Linked DNA regions of Nothobranchius furzeri. The protein of the gene in region 1 interacts with the protein of each later gene in a biochemical or structural test. Links are inferred from orthologs where the notes say so. Each region holds a gene or a part of one and is shown on either strand. Other genes may lie near its edges.

Region 1 (7,892 bases):
CTGGGTGTGAATGGGTGAATGACTGATTGTGTTGTAAAGCGCCTCGTGTGTGTGTGTGTGTGTGTGTGGTGGTGGTGGTGGGGGGGGGGGGGGGGTCCAGGAATCTAAAAGGCCCTATATCAAATACAGGCCATGCACCATTCAGTGTGCAGAAGATCCAAAAAACAAGACTGCCTGAGTTATGATGTGTGTGTGTTTCCTACTTCCTATAAAAACCAGGAGCATCTTCCTCATACTGGTAAACTGAACCTATAAATGAATTTCATTGATCTGTGTTTTACCACATGAAGGTGCTGCGTGGAAATAAAATCACCAAGTTTTGAACTCCATGCTGATGGTCTTTACACTTACCAACGCAGAGGATGTTAAAGCAGAAGCCACGGTTGACAGACTTGTTGACCAACTGGTCAGGCATGCTATCAAAACCAACATGGCCGGCCAGAGGCACAGCCCGAACTCCTTCACCCTGAAAAACAAAAGAAATCAACAACAACTATCAGTTAATTGGTCTCTTTACAATGATAGGTTTTGTCTGGGTGCAATTTCAGAACAAGATTAAGACGCACTTAAAAAAAGCCCCATGATGGAGCCATGTTTTCCACCAGAGATTGTTAAGAGAATAAGCCTGAGTTCAGGTGAAGTCATTCACTTCCTGTTTTCTCAGCAGCAGCTCTCTTCCGTCAGACGGTTCAAAACCACTGTGTACATATATGGAAAGACACTGCTGTTCATGTCTAGATAAGAAAGATCCAAGCAAATGTAATAAAAACTCATTTAATGATGATTAAAAGCTTAAGAGCCAGCTCTGTGACTGGGATTAGATGAATCTTCCGCTATACTTTTAAACACACACATCAAAAATAAAAAAAAGGGTCAACGTGCTGCTGTTAAAAGTGTGTGGGGGTGTTTAGCTGGTAGTAAGCATCCCGATCGCTGTGATTCTCGTTTCTACTGCCTACATTTATATCAAGAGCTACAGGGAAGCAAAGAATTTACGTTGGATGCCAGAAGCAAAAGCTCTCCACCAGCTGAACCTCAGACAACCGGCTATTATGTGGCTTAGCATAACAGTGTTGTTGTCCAATTTGACAAAGACTTTGAGCGAAAAATACTCTGTAAATTTAAAATACCCAAACATTCTGGTGTCACTGAACAGTCGTGGAATATTCTGAAGCTGGGTTTGAACAGCTGAGGACCTGAAGAAATCTGGGACTAATGTAACTGAACAAACAGCCTGTTTAATGTTGAGAATGCAAGCACAACATTCCTGAAATCATCCTCGCTTTTCATGACGCTCACAGCCAAGAAGCACACAGCCGGTTTCATTCATTGAGCCACAATGGGGTATCAAACTGCACTATCTTGCTATTCTAAGAACTCCCTCTGGGTTAAGTGGCTTCCTTTCCCCACTTAAAAAACAAGCTTGGATAACAAGGAGTGTGTAAAATCCCCTTTCCTCTCCAAAACAAGTCTTGAACTCTTGTCTTTGTTTTGCAAGCAATCAAGACAACGCCTGTGTGAAAGTTAACGGGTTCCTAAATAAAACACGGTAACGGAAATGAGCACCGAGGTTGTGCTGAAACGGGGGCTTTCAGAATGAATGGCCTACCGATCGATCTGTGTGGATCCGTCATTTTTAACGATCCAGCACCTACTAAACTCAATTAAACATTTAAAATCACACAATGTGCCATTTCGCCATGCATTTGTTTCAAATAAACACCACATGAAATCTAAGGGCATTTGCAAATGCAATGCTAAAGCTGTTTCACCGGAAAGGTAAATGCACGAGGTGATGCGCCTTGATTTAACATCATCAGACGAAGAGCATTTTAGATGCATAATTTGTTATCTAAAAACACGATTTATTATAAACAGACTCTAAATTAGCAACGCAATGGTGAATTTCGAATGTGAACACGGGTGTTAGCAAGCTAACCGACTCCAAAATAACCCGTTACACAAATAAGTTGAAACGATTCCCAGCATATCGAAGATGTAATAAATGCATACAATGGATTTTAGAGTCAAACAGACTACTTACGGCTTGCCTTGCTATCTCAGTTGACGCCATGGTGAGTGTTAGTAGCCGGAGGACGAACCCACTGTCGCTCTGACTTCAGCAAAGGAAGCTGCGCCGCTACGCTGAAACCTGGCCTGCTTGAAATGTACCATTTTATCAAAGTATGTCGCATTTCTTATAAAGGTAGTAGCTGAACTTCCAATGACAATACATATGTATCTGTTAAAACCGATGACTTCTATTAACAGAAGCGGCTTCTAAATGATGGCAGAAGACATAAAATAACACATAAAGAAAGTCCCCCATCGAATGCTTTAATGGTTTCGTCTGATATGAATGGTAGTGAGCAGATGTGATGTAACTTGATAAAATAAAGAAGCACACAGACACACATAACATCCTGAAACAAATTAGTTTAGTTTATAGTAGTGGCCGACAATTTTGTAAAGCATGTGTAGCCATGAGCGTAAATAAATCAGGTGTTACGACTCACAATTAATCTTCAATGCTAACAACACTTAGTAGGCGACGCCTATTTTAGTCACGTGCGTGATATTGGCCAATAGGAAGGATGCCGTGAATTTAAAATTGGCTCGCGGTCGTTCGTTCGTACACAGTTTCTTAACCTCAACCGAGTGAGCAGCACGGTCAGGTCGAGTCTACTGAGTTAGAGGTTGTGTTTCGTAGAGGTGAGTTATCAAAGAGAGCAGTTCAAGTTAAATTTATAGTTTATTTTCTTTGAATGGGTCAAGATAATATCCATAAACCCGCGAACGATTAAGACGTTATACAGCGCTAGCATATAAGCTAACATTTGATTGTTTTGTTTTTTTAAATATCTGTTTAGCGGTCAAAAAACCGTTGTTAACGTTTGTATGTCAGTGTTCGGGAAAAGTTTAAAAAATAAACACTTGTCAAAAATTTCTGATAGGTTTGATTGGTACTCAGGTGATCTGTTTTCAGTAAATAAAGGTGACTAACTTGAAATAAAATGTATATTTTGGGATTGGATAAGTGTTCTATAAAATAATTGCTAAAGGCTTCAAACTAGATATTTAAAGTAGTTTAAAACAAATAAGCTTGTATTAAATTAATTTAGGATTTGGCTAAATCTGTTTTGCCTTTTTCCCCCACTGCTGAAAGTTTACAAAGCTCACTTTTAGCTTTGCTGTTTTGAAAAACGTTTTTGCATTTTGGTGCAGAATATAACGTTTGCATGTGTTTGTCAGATAAAAATGGCAAACATCCTTGCAGAGCAAGAAAATGCTGGTCTTCATGTGCCTTCGCTGAAGATGCGACAGCGACTTCAGTCTGCTCCAGGTATTCTGAACTGAATATTTTTCCTATGTTAGCAGGTGATGTTGGATGTGAGTTCACATTTTTTTTATTTTTCTACCAGAGAAACTTCTGAATTCAGAGGCAGCTAAATCTGTTAAAACACCTCTGCCATTTGGTCGTAAAGCTTTTGGAGCTGTGAACAAGGTTTTGACCCCAGCAGTCTCTGCACAGGAGAAGACTCTATTGAAGCCACAGGTTGGGTTCTGGACAGTCTTCAGTTCACGCATAAAAAAATATTTTGACAAAGTATTATTTGCATCTTTTTGTATGAAGTTCAAATCACAGCTAAGATGCCATACTAAACTAAAAGTTCAGGGGTCTAATTTATCAAATATTGCGTAGAATCCTTAATAAAACTGTACTTAAGCTCAGCAAAAAAAATGTACTTGTTGCTTATTCTGTGTGAGCACAAAGTGGTACAAGTGATAATGCTGCTGGAATTAATAATTTTATCATTCTCAGCAGCAGCACTGCAGGTGCTCTCCATGTCCAGAATGTGCGTAAGCAAGGTCCTTGGTCAACTTAAAGTTGTGCACATTTTTCCGCTAAGTTCTTTCATAAATCCCAAAGTTTGCGTGGAAAGTTGCTTACGCAGTTTTCCGACCCCGTTTTGTGCGTAAGCAAGCTTGATAAATGAGGCCCCAGATCTTTGCCATCCATTTCTCTTTACCTTGTTGTACCAAGTCAATGTTTTGTTTTGTTTTTGTTTCAATAGGAAAACAAAGTCGAGCCTGCTCCTCAAACCAAAATTGAGGAATATCCAGAAATTGAGAAGTTTATCCCGTATGACCCCTTGGGTAAATTGAGTTTGACTTTTATTCAGTTGCCTAAAACAATACATTTCAGTGAAGTCGATACTTATTTCCCCCTCAATTGCAAACTATTATACACACAGTGTATAATAGTTTGCAAAAGATGGCTGATGTAGAAATATCAAGCTTCTAGGTACGAGTTCCCCGCATTGTTGCCACTAAATAAAAATTCCTGCTCAAAATAATTGCTCAGATTTTTAGTTTACAAACTCAATAGATTTCCACCAGCATCTGACTTAAGCTGGTCATTATTAAAGTTGAGCATCTATACACTGCAAAAGAGGCTCCAACACACGTGATCTAATTTCCTTCCTATAGAAACTTTAGACAAGTTTAATGTTCTATATTGCTTTGTCTTGTGCTCGGAGGACTGTTTTCTGCATGTTTTAAACAAGGTTCTAATGTTTCCCAGAGTTTGAGAGGTACAGCGTCCCTGAGGACTTGATCCCTCTTAGCTGCTTGGCACTTCCTGGTTTGGCCTGTTTTCCCACAACTCTTTCTAAGCTGTGTGAGGAGGATTTGACAGAGATGGCTCCACTTCCAGACTTGTCACCCATAAAGATGCCAAAATATTCAGGTATGCACTTAATATTTACTCTTAACTGTTTGCATTTATGCTTCATAGTTACTAAGTTGATTTCTAACTCAACTTTCTAAAAGGCAGACCACTGATGATGGCTTAGCCCACCTGATAGAAACTCTTGACTTTAAATGTCTGAATATGACTCTTTAATTCCTGAACTGTTCATCTTCCCTCGTGGCATAATGATGGATAATCTGGCAATTTTGTGAAACTCTTTCAAACAATGATTGTCGAGCTAAGCATTAACAGACAACATACTCTAATGGTAACTGTCTTCCTTGAGGGCCAGTATCCAGCATGTTTTAGTTGTTTCCCTGTTCCAACACATGATTTTAATCAGCAGGAGCTTGGTGAGCTGCTGAACAAGTGAATCAACAAAAACATGAGTGGTAGTACTCTGGGACCAGGCTTGCCTACGCCTGCTCTCATTCAACACACTTCAATCACCTGTCATCAAGCTCTGCAGAAGCCTGTTAATCACCTGCTGATTAAAATCAGGCACATTGAAGCAGGGAAACTAGTAAAACGTACCGGCCCACGGGGAAGGGAGTTTGGATCACTGATATGCATCCCAGTGTTTCCCTTACATAGGCGTAGCCGTGGCGGCCCACCATGGCTAAAATCCCACTGCCACGCCTACAAGGTCCCAAGTTTTATTTCTTTATTTATTTTTTGCGCCGTTTCCCGAAGAAGCAGCAGGAACTACTGTGTTGTTGCTTGTGATCACAGCTGGCAGGCAGCAAGGAGGAGGCAGGGTGGTTACAGCTAGGGATGAGTGTACGGATAAAGCATTTTTGACTAATACGAGTGTAAAACTCGTAAATATCTGTAATCGTGCTGAAGGAAAATCCTCATTGGGTAACTGTCTTTACGCTCTGTGGTTGGCCAGACACATAGAGCGCCCGCCCCTCCCTACACACAACTCTGCAGCTGAGACGGGAGCTCAGTCCGCTCGGCCCAGGCATCCACGCACACACAGACCGTAACGGATCTGTGCTTGCTTCACTGTTGTTCACGTTTCTTCGGTACTCCTTAGGTTTTCTTCAGCTCGCCTCTTTCAGTTCAATATTTAAATTTACTTTTTTCGTAACTTACATGGTGCATTTGACAAGACGGAGCGAAAAACTGCTCGTGCATGCGTTGGTCACTGCCTCTGCTCCGGTCAGGTTTTTTAAATTTATATTTACACTCTTCTCCCTCTCTCACACACCTTGATCAACATTGTTTTGTTTAACTGTGTATAGGGAAAAATGCCAACAATGTTGGGAAACAAATCAGTTTAATCAAATTAAAATTTAAAAAAGTTGTGTCTGGTTCTAGTATTTCATATATCCTAGTTCCTACTGCATGAGTTCAGATGTATTAATTCATGCACTTGAATAATATTCTGATTTTACTGAAACTGGTTCTGTAATAGTTCCTTTACTATTGTGATCAAAAATATTTAATCTCAATTCTGAGGCTGCTCTGTAAATAGTTTTAAAATAAACACACATAGCAACTTCTGATCAATCCATATCAATTTCAGACTTAAAATAATGTATTGATGTAAACCACACACACTAATTTCCAAATAAGATGCATTAATCTGTATCTCCTTTGATCTGCATTAGTGATATTTTTAGCACCAGAACAGTGAAGCAAAGAAACAGATTCCTGAGTTTGTTAGTAATTTTATTTATTAGGTGCATCTGACCTGTTCTATTCTCTGAAATGAGATAAAATCAGTGCTTCTATGGGTTGTCTCCTCTCTGCACTAGAAACATGTACTTTATTTTAATGTTCACTGTAATGCATCTTGATCTTAACAAATGAATAACATCAAAGATATTGGTCAAGGCCAAATATGTAAATTTGTTTCGGTCATTGAAAGCACATGAAACTATGAATTCACCACAGATTATTGGCCAGCTGAGATGGATCATCTGAGTCATAAAAGCAGAACCTTTGAACAGGGTAATCTGTGGCTGTGAGGTAAATGTTGGGTGTAGCTTTGTGATTTAAGACTTATTTAAATCAGTGTGTAGCACTCTGTAATGATAGATGTGTGCAGTAGCTAATTGAAGCCTGAGTCTGGAGCACATCATTAACCATACTGTCTTCATTTTCAGATGAGCGTTTGGAGCTGGAGGATTTCCTACAAACACTTGATGAGCTGACAGAGCTTCCTCCAGAGCCTGTTGACTTTTAGTGTGTTTTGTTTTTTTTGGTGTGTTTGTCATTTTATTCAAATAAAGTTGTTTTACCTACTGTTCCTAATCTGCCATGCATCACTTAATGATTAGCAAACTGGGTATCGCGACTTCCTGCTTTAAAGTCCATCAGAGGTCACATGAGGATTATCATGGCCCTTTGTGCGAACAGAATGAACCTTGTCTCAGTTCCTCTTAAAAGTTGAATCTGCTTTACAAACAAAACTGAAAGCGTTCAGTTTAGCAAACCTGATTTAGGTCTTGATTGGTGTAATCAGACCTGACCTGAGCTTTGGGCACAGCAGGTGAGTTAACGTGGCGGCTGGTTGGAGGAAACGGTGGTTTCAGGTTAGTCTTTATGGGTTTAAAATGTTCCTAAACGTGTGGAATTGTGTCTTTAACACAGGAAATGAGAACAGTAGAACAGACGGGTCTTGCGCAAGTTTAAACCCAAAGACATCTTCAGGGTGTTTTAACTAAAGGAAATAGCCCCGAGCTGTGGGGGAGCAGCATGTACAGGAGAGGATCCGAGCCAGCTGTCAGCATGAATACCGACGCCCACGACAGCAGGGCATTCAGAAGGACCTCCGTTGTGGAGCGGGTGGCGAGGTACGGCATGCCGGTCATGCCCGGAGCTCTCCAGCGTAGGTCGAGACTGCAGAGGCAGCAGGAAGACGGCTCCGCTCCAGAGAGGAGCTCTCTCACCACAACCACACGCAAAAAGTACCTGAAGGAGCTGCTCCTGAGCAACTCGCTGAGCAGCGTGCTGTCCTGTCACACCCTGGATGAAAACCCCCAGCAGGACGCAGACTGGGCTCTGTACCCGATGGAGCACGCCTGGATGCTGTCAGCTGTGGAGGGAAACTACGAAACTATTCTGGAGTTCATCTCGGAGGACCCCTTTCTGTTGACCAGGAGGGACTTCATCAGCGGCTACTCGGTTC
Region 2 (6,785 bases), on another chromosome or scaffold:
CAGAGATAAAGAACATATAATTAGTTGTGTTTATGTGTAGATATGTAGAAAATAAAACACAGCATCTATTAACCAACCCACCTCTTTACTGGATATGTCCGACGGAACCCGTGTTCCTTCTTGACGATAATCTTCATGATAATCATACGAGGGGGGGTTGTCCATCCTCTCTCTATCGACATAAGTCTGTTTGATATGTAGATATTTAATTAACAGTTTATTAAAATTCAACATTAAACAGTTATTAACCTGATGCAAAACACTGAAATGTGTGACTAACCTTTATAAAGTGATCTGGTGAACGAGTCCTCTCCCGAGGATGTTCCTGTCTCCTTTTGCCATCAGAACGCTTTAAAACGTTTCTGTCGCTTAAATCTTCCTGTCGTTTTTCCTGCGCTAACTCGTCCCGCCAATTCCTGGATCTGAAATCTGAAGGTGACCTCCTGTATCTGAAGTCGTCTTTACGTGAAGGTGCGTGTTTGAAATCCTTGGACTTTTGATGATGTGAGAAACTATCTCCTAGCAGCTGGTCAAAAGACTCATGTCCATATCGACCATCACTGTCGTCATCCTCTGTGTACCTTCGACTTCTCTTTTCAGGTGCATCCCACACAGATGAGGAGGACACACGTCTTCTCACTGGACTCATTCTGGTCCGGTCTCTGTTTGGTGAATCTTTACTGGCCCATATGCTCGGAGAGTCGATGTACTCTCGACTTCTGCTCCCCATCTTGGTGCTGCTGAGTCCATCTCCCCGATAGGAGTCCCGTGGGATTTGGGCTTCAAACTTTCCTTCCCATCTGCTGTTACTGTTGTTCCGCTTTCTCCAACTTCTATCACCTTCATGCTTCTTGTACTCAGACCAGTTTGAGTACATCTTTTCACAGCGACACCAACAACTGAAAGCAAAGCAAAAACCTGATGAAACAATGTGAGCAAGAGCTTTTGAGCTATTTACATAAACAAACACATTGGAATCCTTCCATGATTCAGATCTTAATAGATTTAACAAACTTAATCCAACTAGTGATGGTCAGATTAAGTGTCTGGATCGTTAGATTTTCGTATTAGCCAAGACTTTATGATTGATCTGGGCGGAATTAATCTGATATAAGTAGATCGGTCAAATAATGCAGATGCATCCTTAACTTCAAGGGAACAAGACATATTTAGCCTTTTTAGGGCCCCGATTCTTAGCGTGTTGTAAATGCTAACTGGCGTAACCAGTCTCAAACTAAACTCATATTGTTAAGCAGCTTTTGATGCCTCTGGTCCCTTCTGGCCCGTTACTAGGCCAGCTAGCTAAATTGATTTTACTCTGATGACTTGTACAATTACTGAACTCACTTAGATATGCATTTCCTAGACGTAATAAGACAGACTATTGAGCGTTTTGCTAAAACCTTATCTCATCAGTGTTTGGTTAGTTGACGACAACAACGAGCTAAGACAAAAACGTCCTCCTTACCTTATTTTTATCTGCTGGACAAATATCCTTCTTTAAAGTGTCTCCTATTAAGATAAAAATTAAAGAAAAAACAAACAACTAAAGCAAGTTGGGTGACTTATATTACCACTCAGAATGAACGGCTAGCTCAACGGTTATCATTTAGAAGCATGCTGAAGCTAACCACAGGGCCTGTTTTCTGCCTCCTGGTTAAACTGTGGCCCCCTTCTGGGTGGAGGAGGAATAACACAAAATTCAAACTACAATAAAACGATCAGATTGAATGAATGGATTAACCTGATGATGACAGGTTTAAGGAATTCTAATGTATTGGTGTAAATGTTGAGGTGTTATGGTTGTCCTTACTGATTACAGCTTTGAGGTATTTTTATTTCTAAAAACAGATTAAAGACAACAAAATCACTAAACTAAAATGGCAAATGTATTCTTAAAACGTATAATGGACTTTGGCACGCATCAAAATTTAAAGATGGGTTCATTAAAGTCTCTAAAATTAGGTATTATTGATAAAATCACAAATGCTGCCAACTTTTCAAAAATATTTCATATTTAATTTTTTATTTATAGCTATTGTAACTTTATAATATAGTTCCCTCCTCATTTATTCATGCGTCTTCTCCTTAACACAAATAATCCGAAAAGGCCAAAAACAGCTTCAATAAATGTCTTCTAAACAGAACCAAAATGTAGTTGCAACTGTTCGCCACTGGAGGGCGGCAATAGCTCATTTTATTCATATAAAGTCAATTAAAACTGCGCTTGTCGCGCCGTAGCTAGCTGAGTTTAGCTATTATCATTTTAAGCAATTATATTTGTAGGAAATTTCTTAATTATGTTATTTAAAAAATCTGGGTCCTTTCTAGCAAGGGGATTACAGATGGGTTAGTACCACAATTAAGTTTCCTCAAGGCTCAGGAAAATGTGATCGCTCATTTGTCAAATGTACATAAATTATGTGTTATTGAATTAAGTATATTTTCTGAGATGTTATTCCTCCATGCCAACATGTCTTTGCATGTCTGCAAATAAAACACCGCAGAGTAGCAGGTGAGAATTACTTTTTCTAAAGAGGGACATATTTCGTTGTAACACCGGATGACAGAAGTAGAAGAATGCTAAGCTAGTTAATTTGATTCTAAGTGTGTGCATTTACTTTAATGAACATACGTTTTTACTGTTGTTGCAAATCATTAAGGCTCATTGGTAGCTGCTCCGTGAACTGTGGTAAATATTTCAATCTGGAAAAAGTGCATTTGGTGGCGATCAATGCAGCTTCTGTGAGACGAACGCCAACCCCGGAAGTAACGGGACACAGCCTTACGTTGCAGAAAACAAATCTTTTTCAAAGTTGTATTTTACTGCTATTGGATGTCGGAAGGAAGAAACTGAATAACTCGCGGACCTGAAGTGCGGTTTGAGGATGAAAGTTAAGATCAGGCAGTGGAACGGGGTGGCCTCCTGGTTGTGGGTGGCCAACGACGAAAACTGCGGGATCTGCAGGATGTCCTTCAACGGCTGCTGCCCGGAGTGTGAGTAACCGAGCTGGGATGGGTTCTGGTTCGAAAGTAGCACCAAATCCGATGTCCTAAAATTAGATTTTAAATGTCCAGAACTAGAATAGGATGCCTTACATTAGCTTAAAACTATTGTTACAGAGCTGCTGAAAGGAAAATGTTTCAGGGTATGTTTGCTGTTAAGGGTGATCCTGCCCTAATGAGATCTGGAAGGCTAACTGAGGCCTACAACGATCTATTTTATTCTATTTAGGTACATCTGAGTGACAAAGGATTACAAAACATCCTTCATCTTTTGGATCAGTAGAAGAACAAACTGTAAAATGTTACTACAGCACCTTAAGAAAGGTCTTATGAATGTTTGTTGTCTGCATCTCATATCTCAAAAACAGCATAGGTTGCTGGTTTAGCTTGTGGACAAGCATACAATGCTGGTCCAGCATCCCATGCTAGACTAGCATTACATGGTGGAGCATCTTACCAGTACCAGTACAAAAGCACAACATATGCTGGAAACCAAACCAGCTGTGCTGTATTTTTCAGCAGGTTCTCTTCAACCTTTTACAGTGACTATTAATAAAATGTAATTAAAGTCTCATTTTGCAGGTAAAGTTCCTGGAGATGACTGCCCACTGGTCTGGGGTCAGTGTTCCCACTGTTTCCACATGCACTGCATCCTGAAATGGCTGAACTCACAGCAGGTGCAGCAGCAGTGTCCGATGTGCCGCCAGGAATGGAAGTTTAAGGAGTGAATCTGTTCATCTGTTTGCAGAATTCCCACATTTTTATCCCAGCTGTAAATAACAAGAGTTGTATTCGTCTACACTGATGCACAATTTTTCTGTTAAGTTTGTGATTAAATCTAAACAAATGAATTATGCTGTTGTGCTGTTGATTTACTGCTGCATCAGACTGATTCAAACTGCAATTCTTTTCAATTAGTTGATGTTTGTGTTTAAAAAAAAGGGGGAAATGGTCAAATAAAGGACAAAAACATAAGTTTTATACAGCAGTATCTAAAGGGTCCGCTGAAAAAAATATTCATCATAGATTTGACACTGCAGGACCAGAAAGGTACTTGGAGAGCAAGTCACCCCCAAATTAACTTTCTTTTCTGATGAACTATATTCAATTCAAAAATACTTTATTAATCCCAGAGGGAAATTAGAGTTTCTGTACACACTAGGGCCCGACTGATATATCGGCCGGCCGATATTGGGGTATTGGCCTAAAAGACGGCTGATGTGGCCGATATTGCGCTACCTATCCAGCAGATGGCACCAGCTTTATGAACTCGTGTTGTGTGTCTCCACTCCTTTGAACTTTGAACACAAATTATTGTTTTGGAACTTATTTATTTATTTATTCTTATTTATGTTTCTTATGTGCAATTATTTACTGTCCAGGGTGAATAAGTTCACCAAGTTAACTTCCACTGAGTGTTACTTTGTTACAAAGCACACGTATTACGTTATATTTATTGCTGCATTTTTATTATTTTAACATTCTTATAGGGATCTTCTGTCCCTAAACTTGTGTGTGTTGTTAGATTCCCCAGAGTTAGCTAAGTCAGAAAAAACATTTTGTAAACAGTCGTTTTAGCATAAAGCAATGGAAGGGAAGGCTTGCATTCACCTACATTAAAAAAACAATGTATGTGAATGCACTTACATTGTTTTATGCTAAACTAAGAAAACCAGCTGCAACCAGATCATATTGGGCTGGTTATAAAATGCTTTTTCTGACTTTAACTCTGGGGAATCTTAACAAGACACAATTTTACTGAGTGGTGGAATATTCCTTTAAGTTAAAATGTATTTGTGGAAACCACAGTTTACAAGAAAAAACTTGAATGTTAGATTTATGCTGTGACTGAGTTTGTGTGTTCTGTTGTTTTTGAGATCTGCTAAATAAATCTTATTTGCATTACTTGGAAACCCTAGTGAGTTATTGAGACAGTTCTTTGGTGTGTAATAGAGAAGTAAGTTTGCAACAAGGTTTAAGCTTAAGAAAATAATTTTTTCTTTTTTTTTTTGTGAGGGAGATTTATCGGCCATTATATCGGCTATCGGCCTTTGTTAAAAGTTTTATATCGGTATCGGTCCCAAAAAAGCATATCGGTCGGGCACTAGTATACACAATTCTGAGATCAGACATACATACATAGACACATGACAAGAATTGGTGACTGTGGTCATTCGCAGCCCAAGTCGCGCTACAGTAATAGATCAGGAGGGTTCATATGAGGATAGAGTCAGGGGGAGGGGAAAAAAAGGCACTTCAGAGTTACCCTCCACAGAGGGGACAGCTTTGCTATGCAAAAATACACCTCAGACAGAAATGCACACTGACTTCAGACATTATTCAACATAAGTGTCCACTAGGTGGGGAGGTAGGGTTGGGACTTTCCTCACTTCAGTGCGTGCAGCCGCATGGGGCAGCGCTCGTCACCTCCATTTGGACAGGGGAGGGAGATAATGGGTTAGAGGGCACAGTGACTCCTAGATACGGTTCCACGGCCTTCACCGGTCACAGTCCCGCCCAGGCTGGGATAGGGAGAAAGAGTTTCCATAGTGACGGCAGCATTCCACATTTCTTCTGAGGGGGAGTTATCACTTCAGCCTCACAGGCTCCAAGGGCACCAGATTCATAAAAAAAATTGTTTTGGGGACAGACAGAGAATAATTTCCTCTTTGCCTTAGTGTTTTGTTGGTCTTCAACCCCTCTAGATCCAACAATGGCATAATTAATCCATCCCAATCCATGCTGATCCATCCACTCGCTCCTTATATCCACCTTTTGTGCCAGAGCCTGAATCTCAGCCAAAGTTCCAAGCTTTTGACTCATCTTGACAATTTTATGAGTTTGTGCATTCACAGCACGATGCATTCCATCCATGAGCTCCGGGATTGAGCCAATATTCCTCGAACGCTCGTTAATTTTCAGGTAAACCAGGCAACCGCTCAGGCCAAACAGCAGGAATCCCGACCCCAAAACAACAAATATCCAAACATCTTCAGAATCCTCTACAGACAGTTGAGAGAGGCATATCATGTTCCACCTTTTCCAGGAGTCCATGATATACCCAGCTGGCTCTGTCCCAGAGGGGCATCCGGGAGCTCCTTCTCCCGTTCTCATCGTTGAAAAATTGTTGTCAATTGCGTTGAGAGACCAACTGACCAGATCCATTATTAATAATTTCCAGTTTCCAGAAAAAATGCAGAAAGCGCCGTGCACACAAGACAGGACAAAGTGCCTTGGGATGAGGAGGGAGGGAGAGGAGAAAAAAGTATCTGTACTCTCCAAGAGCTGGAAGAAGAGTCCGGAATATAAATGCGTATCTAATCGTGCTGCAGACACGTGTAGTCAACAGTTTAGCACTTTAGTGCATTTTAGTTGAAATTTAAATTAAATAGAATTTCAAAATTCTGCCTAAAACTGTCAGTGTTGTGCCGTTGTCAGGTAAAAACTCTGCACTGCAATTGAATTTAAATCTGCCATCGCTATTGGCTAAGACGTACCCTAGAACGTTAGCTGGTACCATATGATGTCACAATGTCGTTGTGAGCCTGTGTGTGTGTGTATTTGTTAGCGGCTCCATGGACGTAATTTTCACTTTAGAAGTGGAGGGGACACGGGGGTGGGGGTGGGGGGTGGGGGGGGGGTGGGGTTGTATCTTTACAGTATGTTCTAATGGGAAACAGACGGTTGTTTTCCACTTGGTCCAAGAGCTCAACCAGTGTCAATTTAATATAGCGTAATATTGTTTTTGGATGGTAAAAAGTGCAGGGGTCATAACTTGA

The links.
Region 2: of the proteins of pttg1 (region 1) and anapc11, one has a biochemical effect on the other in vitro, tested with the Homo sapiens proteins (3 studies listed by BioGRID). The link is inferred for Nothobranchius furzeri from reciprocal best matches to the Homo sapiens genes PTTG1 and ANAPC11.

The regions. Positions count from the first base shown.
Region 1 is NC_091741.1:85,723,539-85,731,430, reverse strand, and holds pttg1 (securin), read left to right. Parts: upstream 1-2,613; 5' UTR 2,614-2,712; intron 2,713-3,252; 5' UTR 3,253-3,258; coding exon 3,259-3,343; intron 3,344-3,422; coding exon 3,423-3,556; intron 3,557-4,076; coding exon 4,077-4,158; intron 4,159-4,585; coding exon 4,586-4,750; intron 4,751-6,867; coding exon 6,868-6,947; 3' UTR 6,948-7,010; downstream 7,011-7,892. Other genes in the region: septin6 (septin-6), read right to left, coding at 352-466, 2,045-2,074; sowahd (ankyrin repeat domain-containing protein SOWAHC), read left to right, coding at 7,460-7,892. UniProt on the Homo sapiens protein: Regulatory protein, which plays a central role in chromosome stability, in the p53/TP53 pathway, and DNA repair. Probably acts by blocking the action of key proteins.
Region 2 is NC_091744.1:6,779,250-6,786,034, forward strand, and holds anapc11 (anaphase-promoting complex subunit 11), read left to right. Parts: upstream 1-2,538; 5' UTR 2,539-2,888; coding exon 2,889-2,997; intron 2,998-3,588; coding exon 3,589-3,734; 3' UTR 3,735-3,857; downstream 3,858-6,785. UniProt on the Homo sapiens protein: Together with the cullin protein ANAPC2, constitutes the catalytic component of the anaphase promoting complex/cyclosome (APC/C), a cell cycle-regulated E3 ubiquitin ligase that controls progression through mitosis and the G1 phase of the cell cycle.